Linked DNA regions of Nothobranchius furzeri. The protein of the gene in region 1 interacts with the protein of each later gene in a pairwise test. Links are inferred from orthologs where the notes say so. Each region holds a gene or a part of one and is shown on either strand. Other genes may lie near its edges. The genes, in order: immt, disc1, mrpl44, chd3 and traf3ip1.

Region 1 (4,101 bases):
AGAGACATGGTACAATGCTAACTCGGCTGAAGTAAAAGCCACGGAATAAAAATGAGTCTTCAGGCGTGATTTTAAATCGGAGAGAGAGGGGGCCATTCTCACTGCTAGAGGGAGTTGATTCCAGAGACGAGGCGCAAAGATTGAGAACGCGCGTTCTCCTTGCGTCCTCGCCCAAACACTTGGGACCAGGTACGTAGGGCAGAACCAGCTGAGTCAAGTACAGAGCAGCATAAAGACGGAGTGACTTAAAAACAAGAAGTAAAATTTTAAACTGGATGCAGTAACGCACCGGGAGCCAGTGCAGCTGGGCCAGAACAGGATTAATGTGCTCCCTCCTTCTGGTGTCCGTCAAAAGGCGGGCCGCCGCATTCTGCACCAGCTGTAGGCGCGCAACCGAGGAAGATGTAGATCCATAAAGAAGGGAATTTGCATAATCAAAGCCAGAGATCACAAATGTATGGATCACTGTGTGCCGGTCATGTCTAGTCAGGATGGATTTCATCTTTGGTAGCCGGCGAAACTGGAAAAAGCAGGATCTAACCACCTGGCTAACCTCACTTGATCTGCTACTCGCTAGCGTTAGCTAATCTACCCGTAGTTCCACTTTTAATCCTAGATTTTGGACCGTTTCTGCCTTTGTGTCTTTTCTGGTTTCTGTTTTCCTCCACAGCACCTGTTAGCACGTTGTGCACCAGTAAAAGGCATCTTCTTTACACGATAGCAAGCAACGTACCTTTGTTCAATAAAGTTCTGGGGGGGGGGGGGGGGGGGAGTAGCTTGAAAAGATGTCGCACGAGTGCTACGTGTAAAAATAGTTTAATGCACACAGATTTTTTTTTTCATCGCACCTGCGACATATATGTCCCCCTCGCTCTGATCTGCCTCGGCCTGCTCTGCTGCTGCATACAGATGATCGTTGCCAGCGCATTTGCAGCCGCGGTGTCCATTACTGAACAGAAGCAGCCGGAGCAGTCTTGCTTTTGGGACTCTCGGACTCTGATTTTGTATCGTGCTTTGCTGTGTCTGCCAGCACTGTGTGTGTGTGTGTGTGTGTGTCTGATTCTATCTGCCAATTGGACGCTCCCCCTAATGGCACGCGTGATTTTGAGCTGGCCAATCAACCGGCGGTGGGTTTGTCAGCCTTGTTCGGTTCCAGGCAGACCGCCTTGGGAAGAGGGGTTGTGTGCAGGAATGAGAACAGCCCTAACCCGGTCCAGGCGGGGTGGAGCTGATGCTAGTGTGTAAGGGCCATTAGTGTCTCATCAGGGACTGGGTGGGTCTGTCTTTACATAACTCAGTAAGCGCACACACCAACCCGCTGTGCCTGTAATGTGTGTGTTCATGCAGAAGCGTCAGCAGAGGCGACTCAGATCATCTCGGCCATCAGTGAGGTCCCATCAGTTCCTGCTACGTGTGACTCAGAGGCAGCTGCAGGTACGTTCTCCTCCCCTCTGGAAGCTCTGACCTGGTGCTGGCCTGTAGGCCTTGGGTTGGACCTACTGGTGTCTGAATAAAGTCCAGCCTCCTCCAGGCCCAGGGTTCTACCTAGCAGGGCATAAAGCCTAATCTGGTCTCCACCAGGTTCTAAATGGTTCCATCCCAGTGTAGAAAACCACCTTCAGAGTCACCGGGTGGTCACGTGATGTCCAGGTCGTCTGTGCACAGGAGACCGTGGTTATGGAGACAGGGTGTGCTTCAGCCATGCAGACGTTTGGGTCACATGATGGAGGTGATGGTGGCTCAGGGGTTAGGAGTTTGTCCTGTAACCAGTGGGTTGTCGGTTTGAACCCAGGCTCTGTCCAGGTCATTGTTTGTGGTTTTAGCAGACACGTTCGTCCAAAGCGACTTACAGCTGTGGCTACAGTGTAGATCACCACCATCAGTGTGAGTGTCTGTTTAAAAAACATGAACTAGGTTCATATGATGCTGCTTCGTGTGTGTGTGTGTGTGTGTGTGTGTGTGTGTGTGTGTGTCCTACAGACGAGTGTAAGGAGTGTCACAAACACGCTGATGTTTCAGAGACGGCAGCAGTCGCGTCAGCAGAGCCTCTAAAGGAACGTCCAGTTGATGAGGTCACTGCTAGACTGGTCCAGCAAGACCAGGAGGAAGAGAAGCTTCTGGCCTGTGAGCGGATAACCACACACACACACACACACGCACACACACACATTAATGAAGCTTCCCTGGTTTAGAAGCGTGGTAGTCTGCAGCATCGGGGGTTTATGCTTGAAGCTTTAAGAGGTTTCTGAGCCTGCTGTTGTTTTTGCAGCCCTTTCATCTCGTCTGGAGGACTCTCTAGCCTCCTCTGCTAAGGCCACGCTGCAGGCTATTGGAGCTCAGGAGGTGGCTCTGCAGGCTGTCACCCAGCACACACGCAAGCTGAAGGACGCCATGGAGGCAGAGGTGGGTCAACCTGAGGATACCTGTGGTTCTAGGTGTGTGTGTGTGTGTGTGTGTGTGCGCGCGCACGTATGTGTGTGTGCGCGCGCTCGCAGGATGACAAGTCGGGCTAGAGCAGAGGTGTCCTGTTGTCTTTAAGACAAAAGACAAAATGGTAAAGTTAACCGTGCCCAAGGGCAAAGAAAAATGTGTCTTCCTTCTATTGAAATGATGAAGAGGCAGCAGCTGTCGATCATCAGGAGGTGGACTCCAAACAGAACATGTACGATAACTCCTGAAGTGAGATTTACAAACGGAACAGGACGTTCCATCTGTGACGCCGGGCTCTTCCGCTGGTTGCTCTTCCTGTCCGCGGAGGACGGAGCGGTATGTGCAGCCAGGCGAGTGATGTTCGGAGGAGCTGTCTGATGGGTGAGTTTAGGCTGGGGTCCTCAACTAAACCTGAGTTTTCTCCAGCAGACACCGTGAGGGCAAGACGCTCTTCTAAAATACACTTTAAGTATTATTGTTTGTTGTAATTTATTAATATTTAAAACGGCTTTGTTTCTGGACCAGCTCTGCACCCTTACGGGGTCCAGGAGGGTGCGTGGGAGCTCGCCCGACTAATCTACGAGTTTTGCTGTTAGGTCTGTGTGACCGGTGTCGGAGCTTGCCGGCAGTAAGTCGGGCTCGTTTCCAGTGAGAGTTGGACTCTGTCAGGGCTGCCTTTTGTCACCGATTCTGTTCATAACTGTTATAGATGGGACTTCTAGGTGCAGCCAAGGTGTTGAGGCGATCCGTTTTGGTGGCCTGAGGATCGGGTTTCTGCTTTTGGCAGACGTGGTCCTGTTGGCTTCATCAGAACGTGATCTCCAGCTTTTGCTGAGCGGTTCTTAACTGAGTGTGAAGCAGCTGGGATGACAATCAGCTCCTCTAAATTCGAGACCATGGTCTTGAATCGGAAAAGGGTAGAATGACAGCAGCAGCTCAGGAAGTACAGCGGGTTGTCCAGTAATGGGAAGGTTGCGGGTTCAATCCCGGCTCCGACCAGAGAATGCTGCTGTTGTGTCCTCCTTGGGCAAGACACTTAACCCGCCTTGCCTACTGGTGGTGGTCGGAGGGGTTGGTGGCGCTAGTGCTCGGCAGTCTCGCCTCTGTCAGAGCGCCCCAGGGCAGCTGTGGCTACATTGTAGCTCACCCCCACCAGTGTGTGAATGTGTGTGTGACTGATTGTGTTGTGAAGCGCCTTGGGGGGTTGCAGAAACCTAAGTAGGTGCTATACAAATACAGACAATTTACCATTCTCCGGGTCGGGGATGAGGTCCAGCCCCAAGTGGAGGAGTTTAAGTATCTCAAGTTCACGAATGAGGGCAAACTGGATCAGGAGATCGATAGGTGGGTAGGTGCTGCATCTGCGGTGATGTGGGCATTGTACCGCTCTGTCATGGTGAAGAGAGAGCTGAGTCAGAAGGCAAATTTATCTCTATTTACTGGTCTTTCTACGTTCCTACACTCACCTATGGTCATGAGCTTTGGGTAGTGACCGAAAGAACAAAATGGTGGATACAAACAGCCGAAATGAGTTTCCTCCGCAGAGTGGCTGGGCTCTCGAGAGGAGTCAGTTGAGGTGGCTCGGGCATCTGGTCAGGACGCCTCCCTGGTGAGGTTTTCCGGGCACGTCCAACCGGGAGGAGACCTAAAGGTAGACCCAGGACACGGTGG
Region 2 (4,101 bases), on another chromosome or scaffold:
GTCAGACAGTAATATGCATGTGTCTGATTAGATAAGACACACACACAGGCAGTAATTATAGCGTTGTATTACTGCCGCCATCGTTGGCTTTGATGTGTGAAGCAGCATGTTGGATTTTGAGATGGGGGCTGGTTACCTTAAGAGTTTCTGAAATCAGAATTTGTGATGCATTCCAGTTGATTTTTCAGATTTTTTATTTCATCCATCCATTATTTTCCACTTGTCCAGGTTCATGCTGCGGGGGCAGCAGCCTAAGCAGGGAGGCCCAGACTTCCGTCTCCCCAGCTGCTTGGGCCAGCTCCTCCAGGGAAGCACTAAGGCGTTCCCTGGCCAGCCGAGAAGCATAGTCCCTCCAGCGTATTCTGGGTCTTCCTGTGGGTCTCCTCCCGGTTAGACGTGCCTCACCAGGGAGGCATCTAGGAGGCATCCTAATCAGATGCCCGAGCCACCTCAACTGGCTCCACTCGATGTGGAGGAGCAGCGGGTCTACTCCGAGCTCCTCCCTGATGATCGAGCATCTCACCTTATCTCTAAGGGAGAGCCTAGCCACCCTGCGGAGAACACTCATTTCAGCCGCTTGTATCCGCGATCTCATTCTTTCAGTCACTACCCAAAGCTCGTAAGGTTAGGTGAGGGTAGGAACGTAGATCAACCAGTAAATCAAGAGCTTCGACTTCCAGGTCAGCTCTCTCTTCACCACAACAGACCGGTACAACGCCAGCTCCAGATCAAGCTCCCGCTACATCTTTCTCTCATACATGAACAACACCCTGAGATGCTTAAACTCCTCCCCTTGGGGGGTAGGACCTCATCCCTGACCTGGAGAAGGCGTTCTACCCTTTTCCAACTCAAGACCACGGTCTCGGGTTCAGAGGAGCTGATTGTTTCAAGAACAAACTAAACGTACAGTTGCTGTTTTATGGAGCCAAAATTAAATAAACCGATAAAAACTGGAGTGACACAAATAAAAGGCGTAGATAGTGAGAGATTTGAGTATCAGGAATAAACAATAAAGACACCTGTAAATATCAGCCCGTAACTGGTAACAAAGAGATTTAGTGTTTGTAAGTGTTTCTACTTGTTTTTGTGTCCTCATGTCTTCTAATGTCCTTCTGAACTCCTGCTTTTCCTTTTCAATGCAAACGTGTTGGTCTGATCAACAAAACCAGCATAAAAGTACCAAAACTGATGTTTTTATGGATGCACATAGCCCACAGATACGCTGAATGTCCTATAAGATGTGGACAGTCTTCCGTGTGTATGCGTGTTCTCATTTTAATAACACACCCTTACACTTGGAGGTTTTGTTTTGTCCTTTCCGGACCAGGATGTGTGCAGCGAGGCGGAGGCTGCAGACCTGATGGAGCGCTGTGAGCTGATCAGTGACAGACTGATGGCCTTGGAGGACGAACTGCAGACGGCTTTGCTGAAACAGGATCGAGCCCTTACCCATATCCTTTCTCTCTGAACATACATGAATCACACAGACTGGATGTTTGTGTGTCTGCGTCCGTCCGTCTGAAGGACCGCTTTCCTCCGGCCTTTTTCCTAAAGCTAGATGCTGACTGATGTCGGTTTGCAGTGGCTTCACCTTTCTGAGGGAAAAGCTGTCATTATGGATCCGTTTTCCAGGGAGTGGATGGTAAACTAGGATCAAAGAGGTTTTTTTTGGTTGTTATTTCCTGACAGACTGGATGTGCCGACCAGAAAATGAAACGGTAAAAGTCCACGCGAGGTTATTAAAGGGCCACTGATGTGCGCTGCCAGTCACTGCGAGCTGAGATTAAAGCCGCCCGACAGGAGCTGCGCCGCAGCAGATAGAGGAATGTCACTGTGATGACTGCTCCTGTCAAATCTCAATGTCCATCCTCCGTCTGACCCCCCTTCCTCAGCTCCACTCCCCTCCCCTTCTGCCCGGTTCCGGTGGGGAAGAAAATTACAATATCCATGATAATAACTCAAATCCAACTGTTGGAGCTGATTACATCACTCTCTGCACTAATTAGAAAGTTGATTGGAATTAGATCCGTGTGTTTTTCTTGCGCCTGCGTCTCCTCTTCCGTGTTGCTGCCTTATTAAGCCAGATAATATTTCAGAACCGGAGGTAAGGAAAATTTGCCACCTGACTTTTTATCATCACCCTCGATCACAAGTTATTTCCTCTTCTTTGAAAGCAACCCGGCAAAAATGCCTCCTAACATAACGAATCTCTGAACACAGCATGCCACACGACCCATTTACCCAGATGTTTGAACGTTTTCTTGAAGACCCGTGTTGACCACTGTGCTGTGAGAGGTCAACGCAGGCTCGTCTATCGTAAGCGTGATATCCATGCGTGCTGGCAGCTAGGAGTAGACGGAGACTGGCTCTCTCCTCTCCGGCTCTCTGTTCTCATGTCCAGATGTGTCACTTATTTCCTGTAGATGAAGTCCCTGCACTCATGCAGTAGGGCTGTGGACTCTTGAGGACACCAGAGAGGCAGGATGATATTGTTGGTTTGCAAAATTGAATGGAGCCCGTTCTAGCGATGGCGCTGCTGTTGCCATAGCGACAGGAAGATCAAACCAGCAGCCTGGAAGGGTCTTAATTGAATTCCGGCTCTCAATAATAATAAGACGTGTATGGACAACCACAGAGAGAGGGACTGGAGATGAAGATAGGAGGAATTTTGTCAGTGTTTGATATTAGCTTAAGAGATTTCCAACATAATCTTGAACATCTTCCTGTTTGAGCCACGATCCGCTAAAAATCTCGTGCTACCTTTTGAATTATTCATGCGTGGCTCTTTAACGGGTGTCCACTCAGGCCCCATCTGCCTTTAAAGTCGTCCCTTTGATTTTCCACTGAAGCCGGACACCCACACCATTTGTTTAAGGTACTAAGCAGGTTAAACAATCCTCCAAACTGATGACAGCCAGCATCCCGTTCCATCATGACGTTTCATGAATAATTAAGATCGGCGGTCTGCCTGCATGGGTTCGCACTTTAGATGAGCTCATGAATACTGAACTAGATTAGGGTTAAAGTGGGTATAAGTCGATGGTCAGTAATCTGTTTGGAGGCTGGTGGCTGCATGGCGTCACGGCTGACCTCAGCTAGCACCGTTAGCCATTACAGTCAACAAGTCCCACTTTTTTCCTTGATGTTTTTCTGTTGGCGTGTTTCTAATTTGCACAGCAAGCAGACATAATCGTTTCCCTTAACTCACGCTGCACAGTCCTTAGAAACAGAAGTTCAGCAGGTAAAGTCCACTTTACAGGCCATGCTCGCACAGCTGAAGGTGGAGGAAGAGGAGGAAGAGGAGGGAGAGGAGCTGAATGACCTGATGAAGAATGGGACTCTAGAGGAGGAGGAGGAGGAGGAGGAAGAGGAGGACCAGTACTTCAGTGACAGCTGGGACATCTGAACCTGGAGCAACAGCAAGAATCTGACCTTGGTGTTGAATAAAAGTGACCTCATTATCAGTTTACAGATTAGCCAAGGGGCTTAAATGCCTGCGTGACATTTAGTGGAACTGCAAAAGGAAATAAACATCAAGGGTTTGATTGGCAGTACAGCCGTGGCCACCAGTTTTACATCATTTAGTCATCCTGAAGTAGGTCTTTAAACCTAGATTTAACTACTAGACATCCAAACAGGGCCTGGAAATGCAAACCAGAACTAACTGCTGTCCCCCTAGTGGCTGGCTGCAGCGTTAGTTTTAAAGGAGCATGGCGTAATCATTCCACAGTGAAATAATCACAAAACAGTCTAATGACTGAGTCATGGAAGGAAGGTCACAAAGAAACAGCTTTCATTCTCAGCTGACTAGGGTGTTGTCAGTTTTTCTCCCTTAAAAAAACTAAAGATGGACGTAGCCAGCACTCCGCCCACGCGCATCTGGCACTGTGCGTAGGGCACCAACTGATCAACCTTACCCCCCCCCCCCCCCCCCCCCAGCTCAAACACCAGCCGTGTGGTTCAATCTTCAGTGGTCTCCAGTAGGAATGAATGTCCTGTAAGTCGTTGTCGGGGGGAAAAATGTACCGGTGCACCTTTTTCGGGAGCTAGAAGTGAGCCACATCGCAGCTGAGCTTCAGACGGCAGGTTTTGTAGTCTGTT
Region 3 (4,802 bases), on another chromosome or scaffold:
TAACGTTAGACTTTAATCGAAGCTTCACTAAAAAGTTCTCAAATCAAACACGTTCATCCAGTCCTTCAGTCAGGCATCACCCCGAGGAGCTCAGGCCTCGGCTGGAGGAAAAGGCAGAGCAGTAGGTTAGAAAGCTGAGTTTTGACTTGAACCTGAGAGGGAGCGGTCTTCGCTCCAGTCCAGCGCTGACTCCTCCTCATCATCATCACTGCCTCCAGATATGACTTCTATCTTTGGCTTGAACACCTGCTGAGAGGAGCTTTCAGTAAAACCCTCCAGTTCCACATTCTCTAAATCAGGCAGGTCATCGATGTGCAGTGGCCGGTTTGTGAGGAGTTGGATTGTTTCCAGCTGCTCTTCATCCTCCAACTCTGTGACCAGTGGTCCAGGACCGTGTGCTGTTCCAAGATCATCTTCTTTGGTGAGAAGAGACCTAGGAGAAGGCTTCCTGTTTTCAGAGCACACTTCACCTCTCTTTACATCGTTTTGGTTTTTGTCTTCATCCTCCTGTTCTGATAGATTATCCAGGAGCTCTTCATGTGCATCCAGGAGGACCATCTCTGGAGAGGTGGGGGCCTCTGTTTCCTCTGAAAGAAGGTTATTTAAGTTACAATCTACATTTTGTTTTGTACTTCATGTGTGCAAATGCTCACCACGAAGGCGGCGTCTCTCCAGAGCCTTTTGGCGAATCATCTCCATTCCCTTCAAGCGCTTCTGGACTTTCATCTTCACCTGGAATTCCCACTGCTCCTTCTCCTTTTCCAGTCCCCCCCTCGCCCACGCCTCTGCACATGCCCGCTCTTTGGGGAAAACAGGGCGATCATCGAGGAAAGTGAGCTGCTTGAGGCGAAAGATCACAGCCTTCCTGTAGTTTGGGGTCTTCTTTACCACCTCGTTTCCCATCAGGTTCAGCACTCGCAGGTCCGGCATGGCCTCAAGCACAGAGAGGATCTTGGGATCATGAAGCAGATTGTGAGACAGGTCCAAAACGCTGATGGCCAGACAATGACGTAAATGCTCAATGTCCTCCACAGACTCCAGCTTGTTGTGAGCAATGTCCAGAGTGCTGAGGTCAGAAAGCCCAGAGATGTTTTCTATAATGTGGATGTGGTTGTTGGATACGTTCAGGATGTGAAGATCTCTTAGATGTTCAAGGTTTTCCAGCTTGTGAATGTGGTTATGCTGAAGGTACAAGCAGCGTAGATGAATTTGGGCATCCAGGTTCTCAATGCGCTGCAACACGTTGTTTGCCAGCCAGAGGCACTTCAGGTCTGTGTATTCCTCTAGATTCTCAATGACAGAGAAACCCTTGGAGTGCAGATAAAGCGTGTCATTAAGGGAAGGGGTGTAGTACAGCTTGTGCTGCTTACAGAGCTCTTTAAGGAGCTTCCTAGTAATTCGTGGCATCGAATATGTTTCTTCTTGCAGTGAGCTTTGCTTCAGTTGTCTGGCTTCCCGTTTTAATTCAGCTCCAGCCTCTAAAATACCTCCTGGTGCATGAATGCCGGATGATTTTGAAATATCTCCACCTTCAGAATGAGCTGCCATCGTTTGTTGGGCTAGCCTTCTTCAAAAAAAAAAAAAAAACTATGAAAGTATCCCAAAGGATGGAAAAATAATATGTCTTGCTTATATATTGAAATGATTAGTTTTCGTTGTCTAATATTAGCAGTTAGTCCGCCTGTTTGTTGTCGTTAACCGCTTGGTTTGTTTCCATAGTAACGATTGGTCGACCGGATTTAGTTTCGCATCGGACTCTTTAAGATGTTGCACACTGCTCCTGTTGGAAACATGTCGGCTATGTACTTGTTCAGTCGTGGTGTCCTAACATCTGGAATACACCGCCAGCTCGTCTGTGGAAGTGTTTCACTGTTTCAGATTAGAGGGAAGAAACGATGGATGAGAGCGTACACGTACATCATGGCCAAGAAGCTAAAGCTGGAAGGACCTCCTCCACCGAAGCCACGGTAACGTTAGCAGCTAATGCTAAAGTTTACCAGAGAGCACCTCAAGGCCAAACATGTCACATTTCTGTCAATTTAGGCTACACAAAGGAGGTTTAACCAGCTTTGTTTACTGAGTTCAAAGCAGAAAATAAATATGTTGAGCATCAAGAAGAAATAAAACAAAATAAGCTAACGAGATTTAATAGCAGCAATGGAAAATTCCTGAAAACATTTTAAAAAAGGACTTGCCACAAGATAGTGGCTATGTATTATAGAGGCCCAAAATCCTGATAACGTCAATTATTTAATCATTGTTCCATCATATTTCCAGTCAAAATCAAAACTTTCAAGAGAAACAGATTAGAACCATGTTCACATTCTGTATTTGGTTCACATGCTAATAAAAATAGCTTCACTGCTCTTAATTGGTGGTTGTTTCTAAGGGGATGGATATTTAGTCTGGCTTGCTCTTAGCAGCACACCGCACACCGGTCCATTTTATTAAGGTGCATACAGGGTGGTCCATATAAACTGCCCACCCAGTATTTATTTACAAATATAACGAGTGTTTATTCTCCTAGAATTTATGACACATTTTGTACTATTTTTTTGTCTAAGAATTTGCTCCATATCTCACTTTCTTTCAGGTCACAGCATCCTAACTGGGATTACCACGCTGAAGTTCAAGCTTTCAGCACTCGCCTCAATGAAAACTTCTCCCTGGAGCTACTTAAAACAGCCTTCGTTAATCCCTGTTACCTGCAGGCAGAGCAGGACAGGAGAAAGGGATTAGGTGTGGATTCAGAAGCTACAGCTCTGGTTCTCAAGGATAACAACCAGCTGAGTAAATCTGGAGAGGGTTTTACTAAGAGCTTCATTAGCGACTGGTGCAGAGCAAATTTCCCTAGTCTGCCAGATGAAGGTGTGGAGAGTGTTGTGGGACATCTTGCCAGCCCAGAGGTTGTGACATATGTTGCAAGAAATCTTGGCCTTGAGGACCTTACCATGAGCGCAGAGTTCCCTGTTCCAGATGATGTGCTCTATTCTACATTCATGGCGGTGATTGGAGCTCTGCAGGAGAGCAGTGGAGCAGAACGAGCTAGATTTTTTCTCAGAGTAAGATGAACACAGAGTAACACTTGATGTTTATTTCTAAATATGTGCTCATCCTAAAACTGCACGGTTGGATTCGTGTTCAGCGTGTCATGATATTCTGCCACTTCTTAGGACTTCCTGTTGACTCAGCTGATAGGGAAGGACCTGTTTGACATGTGGACTGTGGTCAACCCTATGGGCCTGCTGGTGGAGGAGCTGACAAAGAGGAATGTTCCTCTTCCAGAGCCTCGTCTCATCAGGGCTGCTGGTGCCAGCACTGTCCTACCACTCTACTTTGTTGGGCTTTACAGGTATGTGTGTTACTATGCAGCTGTTTTTTGTCCTCTGCATCATATAAATATACCTGTTTTTGTCTGTTCACCTCTGATAAGTGACCAGAAGCTCCTGGCTAATGGTCCAGGAGAGACACTGGCTGGAGCTGAGGAAGAAGCAGCACGCGTTGCCCTTCGAAAACTTTACGGCTACACTGAGAACCGCAGACCCATCGACTTTTCTCCACAACAGCAGCACGAGCAATGCAAACTTCAGTCTGCCAGCAGTACTTAGTAAAGTAATAATTATACTCCAGCAAAAAATAAAGGGGATATAGGTAGGCAGAAATGTATTGTGCTTGTCAGTGTTGATGCTGATGAGTTTTAAAATGAGAGCTGCAATAATGCTGTAAGATCATGCTTTCTACTGTATTAAACAGACGGCCCATGTTTGAGCTATTATTAGTATAAAATCGACTAGTTTCACTGTCGTACCTGCATAAAACCAGCTGATTCATTTTTACCATCTACCCCTGCCATCTCACCATCTATTTGTAAATAATACATCTGGTGTTTAGCAAAATTTGTATTATGTTGTGTAATTTGTATGTAATAAATTTTATTTACAAATTTGTGAAAATTGTAATGTTTTTAATATTTACATCAGCATTCAATGAGAAATCCAAGCATCCTTGATCAAGTATATTTTTCACTAAGCCTTTAGAGCTTACCTTGAAAAAAAATACATATATATTTAAAATCTATGTAATATTTTAGTTTCACAACAAACGTTGAGACTTGGTTTTGTGTTGCAGTGGCTATGAAGAGCCTCATGATGGCGCTGGTGAGCGGTCGTTTTCACTGTCATGAGCATTGCCAAAGATTACATAAAAATGACAAGATAGTTCGTTTCCCCAACTTTCGAATGTAATAAAACCAGGACATTTCTGACAAAATGTTTTTGTTCTGGCTAGAGATTATACTTCATTACCTGGAATAATTTTGAAATATACCGAACTCGAATATTTCATATAACAGTTATTGTTCAGACATTTTGCCAGTCGCGACCTAATAGTTTGATTATTACATTTGACTTCCAACTGCTAGACCAAATTTTGCTACATTCCGCCCAGAACGTTCAGGTATCGTACGTATTTATGTATATTCTATTCTATGTGCAGCGTAGTCTGCCTAATAACAGGGTTTTAGGGAAAGCGGAAGTCGATAGCAGGAAGTATCTTGTTCCCCTCTTGAGTGCGTGAGCCTCTTTTTCTAGGAGACGTGAGGCCGCCCGCCCTGACAACGGAGCCACTTTAACCACCCCCTGGCTGCCGTTAGCACGAGTCGGCAACCGTTAAACAGCACAGCCCTTTGTTTCAGTTGTAGCTGACATTTAAACCTCCCCCGATTTTATTTATCGGTGCTGTATATCCTTTATCATGGCGGCGAGTGCCAAACGAAAACAAGAGGAGAAACACCTGAAGATGCT
Region 4 (4,101 bases), on another chromosome or scaffold:
GTCTTTAAGAACATGCCTGCCAAGACGGAGCTGATTGTTCGAGTGGAGCTGAGCCCCATGCAGAAGTACGACCCTGGCACGTCTCTGTATAAGGATTCAAACATCTCCAGTGCTTTCTGATTCCACCATCTTATCTTTGTGTGTATTTCTTTAACTAGGAAGTACTATAAGCTGATTTTGACCAAGAACTTTGAGGCTCTGAACTCTAAAGGTGGAGGAAACCAGGTGTCTCTGCTCAACATCATGATGGACCTGAAGAAGTGCTGCAACCACCCATATCTGTTCCCCGTCGCCTCAATGGTGAGGGCAGATTAACTCACTGATGCACCAATGCTGAAGGAAAATCATCCCTCTCTGTCAAATCGCACTAAAAATGTCACTTGGTGTAACAGTGACACCTCGTGGTCTCTTGTGGTTGTGCTCCAATTATTTTATGTGTGTTTTTGTTCATTTAGAGTCTATTGGTGGTCACCTTGTGTCTGTTTTGTTACGATGTTAAACGTGTGTCTGTTTTGCTCCATGTGCATCCCTCTTTGTGTTCATGTTTGCACCAAATCTCTTAGAAGAAATATTCACAGTCACCAGTATTGAGTCTGTGGGGCCTTCTTGCGTACAGGAAGCCCAGAAAAGCCCCAGTGGTGCGTACGAAGGGTCGGCCCTCACAAAAGCCTCTGGGAAACTGATGCTGCTGCAGAAGATGCTGAGGAAGCTGAAGGAGCAGGGGCACCGAGTGCTTGTCTTCTCACAGGTTCCCCAGCACACAGAAAGCAGCACAAGCACCAGATGACAGGTGACGTTAGCCAGCAGAAGGCTCTGATGATGTTTCTGTGGTCTTTAGATGACTAAAATGTTGGACTTACTGGAGGATTTTCTGGACCATGAGGGCTACAAGTATGAGAGAATCGACGGAGGCATCACAGGAGCACTGAGACAAGAAGCCATCGACAGATTCAACGGTGAGAAAAAACACACTTTAACAGAGACAGAGTTTTGCGGATTAAAGAGGAGTTTAAAAATAAAATAGCAAAGTAAAGACACATCCCAAAGACACTAAAGGGATGCTGCGGCGTGGCTTTTCACAATAAGAGCATTAAAGTATGGTTGTTTTCATCTGAGTAATTACCTTTAGGAATCTGGTTTTACCCATTTATGTCAGCAGGTGGCAGAGGTGAGTTATGTTTGGGTGAACCAAAGATGAAATGTGTGCTCTATTTTTAAAATAAGATGGGATTGCAATTCAAAGAGTAAAAGAAACTAAATTTCTTGGAGTTCTTATTGATGAAGACTTGTCATAGAAATCCCAAATTAGTTACATAAAAGGTCAAATTGCCAAATCCTTAGGAGTATCACATAGAGTCAAGTTTTTACTGACTAGTTCTGGTTTGTTGGCATTGTACAATTCACTGATTGTTCCATACTTGACTTATTGTGTAGATATCTGTGGAGCAGCATACAAAAACTATACACAACCCTTATTTATTTTACAGAAAAGAGCTCTGAGAATCATCAATTATAGTGGCTGTAGAGATCCATCGAACCCATTTAAAAAGCACCTCAAACTACATCTTAAAGGCTCCCAGACATGTTTGCATCTTTAGTTATTCTTATTTTTTGTTGCCTATTTTAATGGAATGTTTCTATCTGACTGTTTTTAAATTGTATAGTGTTACTTGTTTTACTTAGTTATCTTGTTGAAGGACTACAGATGCAAATGAGCAACTATGCTATATAATTTGGCCCATTTACGATCGATACAATGTATTTGATTGTTTATTAATGTGCATTGTCCTGAATAAATAATTGAATTGAATTGTTTATTAAATATAAATTACTGAAATTTCATGATTTAAAAAGACTGGAAAATCTTACAAACCATGTATGAAGCCAATTTAGGTACTCTGCCAACAAACATTCAGGGGATATTTGAAAAGAGAACTAGTAATTATATGCTGAAAGATACTGATGTGTTTGCAAAACCTAGATTTAGAACTAAAATTAAGGAGTGGAATACATCTGTAAATGGTGTTAAATTATTAATAACCTTAAAAGGGAAATTAAAAAAACTCTGTCATTTAATATATTAAAAAAATGTACCAAATTGAGTGTACTAAATAATTATGAAAATGTTAATTAAATCAGTGATCATGATCGCACTGGAATTTAGAACAGGAAAAAGTTTAAAATGAATCTCTGTGTGTGTGTGTGTCTGACAAATGGAAATTATATATAAATTATTTCTTCTGGAATAGGGGGCAGAAATTATAAGATGTTTTTCTTCATTCTGCTCCTTTTCGTTCAAATTTGATTTTTTGTTATGAATATCTTATTGTTTATATGTTTTATTTGTTTTTATTTTGAATGAAATAAAAAAGAGAGAAAAAAACTTGACTTTTAAAACAGATGCACATGAATTAAGCCTTCAGAAGGCGTGGAAGTTTATGACAAGCCATTTCAATTCAATTCAATTCAAAAAAACTTTATTAATCCCAGAGGGAAATTGATTAATTGATTTCACTCTAAATATAAACGATTAAAAACTGTTATCAATAGATACTTAAAAGTATTCTATCAAATAAATAAATGTTTCAATAAAAATTATTAACAGGAAGCTAATTTAGTCAATTAGAATTTTATATTATATTATATTATTTATTTATTTTATGATTGTCTTTTTTGTGATGCTTTAATATTTTTAAATAAATATTTCATGGATTTTTTTCTCTCCATTTTGTTCAGGTTCTATTTATTTTATGCTTGTATATTCAAATGAGTGGGCGGGGTTTTCTCTGAGGGGCGGGGTTTTCTCTGCTCACCTACGGAGCACAGTGGAGCGTATTCCCGCTGAGCCCTTTTTGGACTCTTGCTAGTGTCAGTATGACAGACGAGTGGGCGACGCCCTTTAGTAATGACGATTCATTGTTAGCAACAACATAATAACAGGATTTCTTTTAAAACATTTGACCATAATGGCTTTCCATACAGGTGAGTGTCCATTGAAAAGAAAGACAAAATAAAAGCATTACAATAAATAATTATTTTAAAAAATTTATGTTTTATAAATCTGAAATTTTCTCTGATCAACTCAAGAAAAAAACTTCTTAAACCTAAAAATGTAAAACCAGCCCTCATAAACAGACCTGTCGACTGGAATAAATACCGCAGAAATACGCGATGCCAACTAATAAAGTGGGAAATAAACAGGCAGAAACAGAAGTGACCGTTTGTTCAACGTTTTAACAAAAACAGGATGTTAGTAAATTACAGGCTCCTGATTATTCCCAGATCTGCTTGCTCCAGGTAGAAATTCCTGTTTATCACTGGAATGAGCTTGTTTTGCGTGGACCGTGACCAGACTTTTACAAAACGGTCTCAGTCAGAGTAAATCCAGCTGAAGCGAGGTAAATCAGTCTGGCACTTTTGAGTTTTAAAGCTAAACAGTGTTTTAGGGAAGCAAAGCATTAATGAGCGTTGGAAGTTAAAGTTTCCCGCGTTACTTCCACGAGGATTAGATTTTTGTGTCAGGGTGGATAATCACACCGTCTCCCTCGTCTCCAGCTCCTGGAGCTTGTCAGTTCTGCTTCCTGCTCTCCACCAGAGCTGGAGGTCTGGGCATCAACCTGGCCACGGCGGACACCGTCATCATCTTCGACTCTGACTGGAACCCCCACAACGACATACAGGTACAGCCTCTGATGGAATAAACCGTCGTCTGTCTAACTTCTGTTCTGCTTTATCTGAAGCAGCCTCTCTCTTGCCGCTCAGGCGTTCAGTAGAGCTCATCGGATCGGGCAGGCCAACAAGGTGATGATCTACCGCTTTGTGACGCGAGCCAGCGTGGAGGAGCGCATCACCCAGGTAGCGAAGAGGAAGATGATGCTGACCCACCTGGTGGTGCGGCCCGGTTTGGGATCCAAGGCGGGCTCCATGACAAAACAGGAGCTGGACGATATCCTCAAGTTTGGGACGGAGGAGCTCTTTAAGGACGAGGGAGAAGGTGACTGATGGTTCTGGCTGTGGCCATTTTTATTTGTTGGATTATTCTGAAAAGAAAAAAAAAAACAAATATGCTGGCAGGTATGAAGAATAATTCTGGGGATAAAG
Region 5 (4,101 bases), on another chromosome or scaffold:
GTGACCGGCGAGCCTCTGGCGGCCAAGCCCGCACGGATCGTTGCCGGCCATGAGCCGGAGAAAACCAACGAGCTGCTTCAGGCCATCGGCAAGTGCTGCCTCAATAAGGTCTGCATCACACACACACGCGCGCGCACACACACACGCACGCACACACACACACACACACACACACATGCACTCACACTCACACACACACACACACACACACACACACACACACACACACACACACGCGCGCGCACGCACACACACACACACACACACACACTCACACTCACACTCACACTCACACTCACACACACACACATGCACTCACACTCACACACACACACACACACACACATGCACTCACACTCACACACACGCACACACACACACTCACACTCACACACGTGCATATGCATGTGTACGCACTCACACAAAGACACAAAAAGTGTTTTTTATATTGTTTTTATGGGAATTCATTAAAATAAAACTCCATTTTTGTTTTTAACAAACATTTTTTCCACTCCTGGGAAATGTTTTCTTCTGCCTCAGGAGAACTCTGACACACCCTGGAGGTGGAGGTAATGAGCCACTTTCCTAGGGACCGTTGTAAACAGTTCCTGGTGCTTTAAATACATTCTCACTGCAGCGTATGCAGCGAGAATCAGAATATTTGTGTAGAGCACTGAAGGTTGTAGCATCATTTTCTTTTTTTAGGCCATAAGTGTGAAAAAGGCAAAAACACACAAGCTAAAACAAGTGCGTGTACAGATGACGTAAGAGGGGATGAATAAGAATACATTTAAAATGTGTGTTATTTGTGAAATGTTGCCTTTCAACTTAAAAACACGATGAGGTTTTTTCCATCCTCCGCTTTGAGGATCTTTACTGTTTGGTCTGCAGTTGTCCAGTGATGAAGCAGTGAAGCGAGTGCTGGCAGGAGACAAGGTGGACTTAAAAACCAGAGCCAGCACGTCCAAGTCTCAGAGTAACGACAGGGAGGGACGCAAACACACACAGAATGATGAGGTGAGTAAAAAGACTTTTCTATACTTTTCCAATAAAAAGTTATGTTTCACATATCTATCCTCATGATCGGGTCCCCGTCCTTACTTTGGTTTATATAATATCAGGAAAAGAAAAAGGCAACCGAGCGCAGCAGCAGCGAGGACCAGAAGGACGCCGAGCGGCCCCAAAAGCCAGAGAGTCAACGCAGAGATGAGAATAAAGAGCACCAACGGGACCGTAGGCGCTCCGACAGGAATCACCGCGGTGAGCAGCAGCATCCCGCCAAAGGCCACGACAAGAGCAGGGACCGGGAGCAGGACAAAGGACACGCCCGGGACAGGCACAAGGAGAAAGACCGCGACAGGGATCGAGGCAGAGACGATCAGACAATCAGAGAGAGAGAATCTCACAGAGACAAACACAGAGAGCGGCAGAAAGACCAGGAAGAGAGAAACCCAAGTGACGAGAGTAGAAACGACAAAGTATGATGCTTCACTCCACTTCTGTCCTAAATCTGAGCACTGATCACTCACACAAAGTTTGTTTGTTTGTTTGTTTGTTTGTTTGTGTTCAGACCAGAGAGGCAGACAAACTGCTGCAGAAACTCGGTCCTGAAGAGCAGAGCAACAAATCAGCCACCACAGAGCCAGTGGTGAGTCTGCGTTGGGTTTTACGTCTGCTTCTGTACGCACCTGTTAGTAAAAGGCCTTCGGGGGGATTCAGAGCGTTTCTGTGGTGTTAGATGTGTCCGAGTTTTTACTGTGATTCCTGAAAGCCACACATCTGTGTTTTTTTGTCTGTTTAGCCCTCAGAGGTAGAAGAGAATCAGGTGAGAATGTAACCAGCGGTGTGTAATCCTAACCCTAATCTGGCGATGAGATAAATATCACAATACAGACGATACGTCGTGACACTAAAACCCCGATTAGACTGAAATTCATTGGAAAACTCAGATCAGACTCTTCCAGTATTATAACAGTATGATTGTGAGATCTCGTTGTTCCGTCAGAGTGGAGGCGGTGGAAGCTGCTGCCACCTTGCAGTCGGAGTTTGAATTGCACCGCACAAAAATACAGGTCCTTCAAAAAAAATCTGCATATTGTGATAAAGTTCATTATTGTCTGTAATGTACTGATAAACATTAGACTTTCATATATATTAGATTCATTACACACAACTGAAGTAGTTCAAGCCTTTTACTGTTTCTAATATTGATGATTTTGGCGTACAGCTCATGAAAACCCAAAATTCCTGTCTCTAAAAATTAGCATATCATGAAAAGGTTTTCTAAACGAGCTATTAACCTAATCATCTGAATCCACTAATTAACTCTAAACACCTGCAAAAGATTCCTGAGGCTTTTAAAAACTCCCAGCCTGGTTCCTTACTCAAAACCACAATCATGGGTAAGACTGCCGACCTGACTGCTGTCCACAAGGCCATCATTGACACCCTCAAGCAAGAGGGTAAGACACAGAAAGACATTTCTGAGTGAATAGGCTGTTCCCAGAGTGCTGCATCAAGGCACCTCAGTGGGAAGTCTGTGGGAAGGAACAAGTGTGGCAGAAAGCGCTGCACAACGAGAAGAGGTGACCGGACCCTGAGGAAGATTGTGGAGAAGGACCGATTCCAGACCTTGGGGGACCTGCGGAGGCAGTGGACTGAGTCTGGAGTAGAAACATCCAGAGCCACCGTGTACAGGCGTGTGCAGGAAATGGGCTACAGGTGCCGCATTCCCCAGGTCAAGCCACCTTTGAACCAGAAACCGTGGCAGAAGCGCCTGACCTGGGCTACAGAGAAGCAGCGCTGGACTGTTGCTCAGTGGTCCAAAGTACTTTTTACAGATGAAAGCAAATTTTGATGTCATTCAGAAATCAAGGTGCCAGAGTCTGGAGGAAGACTGGGCAGAGGGAAATGCCAACATGCCTGAAGTCCAGTGTCAAGTACCCACAGTCAGTGATGGTCTGGGGTGCCATGTCAGCTGCTGGTGTTGGTCCACTGTGTTTTATCAAGGGCAGGGTCCATGCAGCTAGCTATCAGGAGATTTTGGAGCACTTCATGCTTCCATCTGCTGAAAAGCTTTATGGAGATGAAGATTTCATTTTTCAGCACGACCTGGCACCTGCTCACAGTGCCAACACCACTGCTAAAGGGTTTACTGACCATGGTATGACCTGAACCCCGTAGAGAATCTGTGGGATATTGTGAAGAGAAAGTTGAGAGACGCCAGACCCAACACTCTGGATGAGCTTAAGGCCGCTATCGAAGCATCCTGGGCCTCCATAACACCTCAGCAGTGCCACAGGCTGATCGCCTCCATGCCACGCCGCATTGAAGCAGTCATTTCTGCTAAAGGATTCCCGACCAAGTACTGAGTGCATAACTGAACATAATTATTTGAAGGTTGACTTTTTTGTATTAAAATCACTTTTTTTTATTGGTCGGATGAAATATGCAAATTTTTAGAGATAGCAAATTTGGGTTTTCATGAGCTGTACGCCAAAATCATCAATATTAGAAACAGTAAAAGGCTTGAACTACTTCAGTTGTGTGTAATGAATCTAATATATATGAAAGTCTAATGTTTATCAGTACATTACAGACAATAATGAACTTTATCACAATATGCTAATTTATTGAGAAGGACCTGTTCAGTAAATGTTTGTAAATTCTCTAAAGAAAATGGGTACGCTGCTTTTAAATATCGATTCACAAACACTGCATATTGTGATATTTCTGTGTGTTGCTATTTTCTTACATCCCCAAACTTAACAGTAACTAAGAGTGGAGAGGAATCAGCGAAGCTTTTCTTCATGTCCTCTTGTTCTGAATGATCTAACGGGATCAGTGAGGTTAACAAACACAACAAATGATGTCATTAATGATGATCCGTTCTTTCCATGTCTGGTTTTCCTGTTTTTAGACACCTCATGGTTCCACCTTTCATCCTTTTTTGGGTGGTTTTGTATGTTGTTAGTTTTCTGCTGCTGTCCTAGCTGGAGGCCGTGCGTCGTGATGAAATACGACACACGCTGCCTAAAGCAGGACAGGCTATGATCAAAAATAATTCTGTCGGTTCTTGTTTTTCAGTTTGAAAATCCAACC

What was found.
Region 2: the proteins of immt (region 1) and disc1 interact in binary tests that used the Homo sapiens proteins (3 or more experiments, as listed by UniProt). The link is inferred for Nothobranchius furzeri from reciprocal best matches to the Homo sapiens genes IMMT and DISC1.
Region 3: the proteins of immt (region 1) and mrpl44 interact in a two-hybrid assay, tested with the Homo sapiens proteins (2 studies listed by BioGRID and IntAct). The link is inferred for Nothobranchius furzeri from reciprocal best matches to the Homo sapiens genes IMMT and MRPL44.
Region 4: the proteins of immt (region 1) and chd3 interact in a two-hybrid assay, tested with the Homo sapiens proteins (2 studies listed by BioGRID and IntAct). The link is inferred for Nothobranchius furzeri from reciprocal best matches to the Homo sapiens genes IMMT and CHD3.
Region 5: the proteins of immt (region 1) and traf3ip1 interact in a two-hybrid assay, tested with the Homo sapiens proteins (2 studies listed by BioGRID and IntAct). The link is inferred for Nothobranchius furzeri from reciprocal best matches to the Homo sapiens genes IMMT and TRAF3IP1.

The regions. Positions count from the first base shown.
Region 1 is NC_091741.1:108,913,292-108,917,392, forward strand, and holds part of immt (MICOS complex subunit MIC60), read left to right. Parts: intron 1-1,347; coding exon 1,348-1,434; intron 1,435-1,980; coding exon 1,981-2,124; intron 2,125-2,269; coding exon 2,270-2,403; intron 2,404-4,101. UniProt on the Homo sapiens protein: Component of the MICOS complex, a large protein complex of the mitochondrial inner membrane that plays crucial roles in the maintenance of crista junctions, inner membrane architecture, and formation of contact sites to the outer membrane.
Region 2 is NC_091752.1:2,396,238-2,400,338, forward strand, and holds the end of disc1 (disrupted in schizophrenia 1 protein), read left to right. Parts: intron 1-1,327; coding exon 1,328-1,450; intron 1,451-3,214; coding exon 3,215-3,406; 3' UTR 3,407-3,627; downstream 3,628-4,101. UniProt on the Homo sapiens protein: Involved in the regulation of multiple aspects of embryonic and adult neurogenesis. Required for neural progenitor proliferation in the ventrical/subventrical zone during embryonic brain development and in the adult dentate gyrus of the hippocampus.
Region 3 is NC_091753.1:32,619,054-32,623,855, forward strand, and holds mrpl44 (large ribosomal subunit protein mL44), read left to right. Parts: upstream 1-1,739; 5' UTR 1,740-1,764; coding exon 1,765-1,967; intron 1,968-2,593; coding exon 2,594-3,062; intron 3,063-3,173; coding exon 3,174-3,352; intron 3,353-3,433; coding exon 3,434-3,608; 3' UTR 3,609-3,952; downstream 3,953-4,802. Other genes in the region: dynein axonemal assembly factor 1, read right to left, coding at 127-587, 654-1,548; agfg1a (arf-GAP domain and FG repeat-containing protein 1a), read left to right, coding at 4,753-4,802. UniProt on the Homo sapiens protein: Component of the 39S subunit of mitochondrial ribosome. May have a function in the assembly/stability of nascent mitochondrial polypeptides exiting the ribosome.
Region 4 is NC_091742.1:58,713,584-58,717,684, reverse strand, and holds part of chd3 (chromodomain-helicase-DNA-binding protein 3), read left to right. Parts: coding exon 1-65; intron 66-158; coding exon 159-300; intron 301-616; coding exon 617-748; intron 749-838; coding exon 839-956; intron 957-3,555; coding exon 3,556-3,680; intron 3,681-3,762; coding exon 3,763-3,994; intron 3,995-4,074; coding exon 4,075-4,101.
Region 5 is NC_091754.1:2,495,927-2,500,027, reverse strand, and holds part of traf3ip1 (TRAF3-interacting protein 1), read left to right. Parts: coding exon 1-108; intron 109-891; coding exon 892-1,017; intron 1,018-1,121; coding exon 1,122-1,478; intron 1,479-1,570; coding exon 1,571-1,648; intron 1,649-1,801; coding exon 1,802-1,825; intron 1,826-4,086; coding exon 4,087-4,101.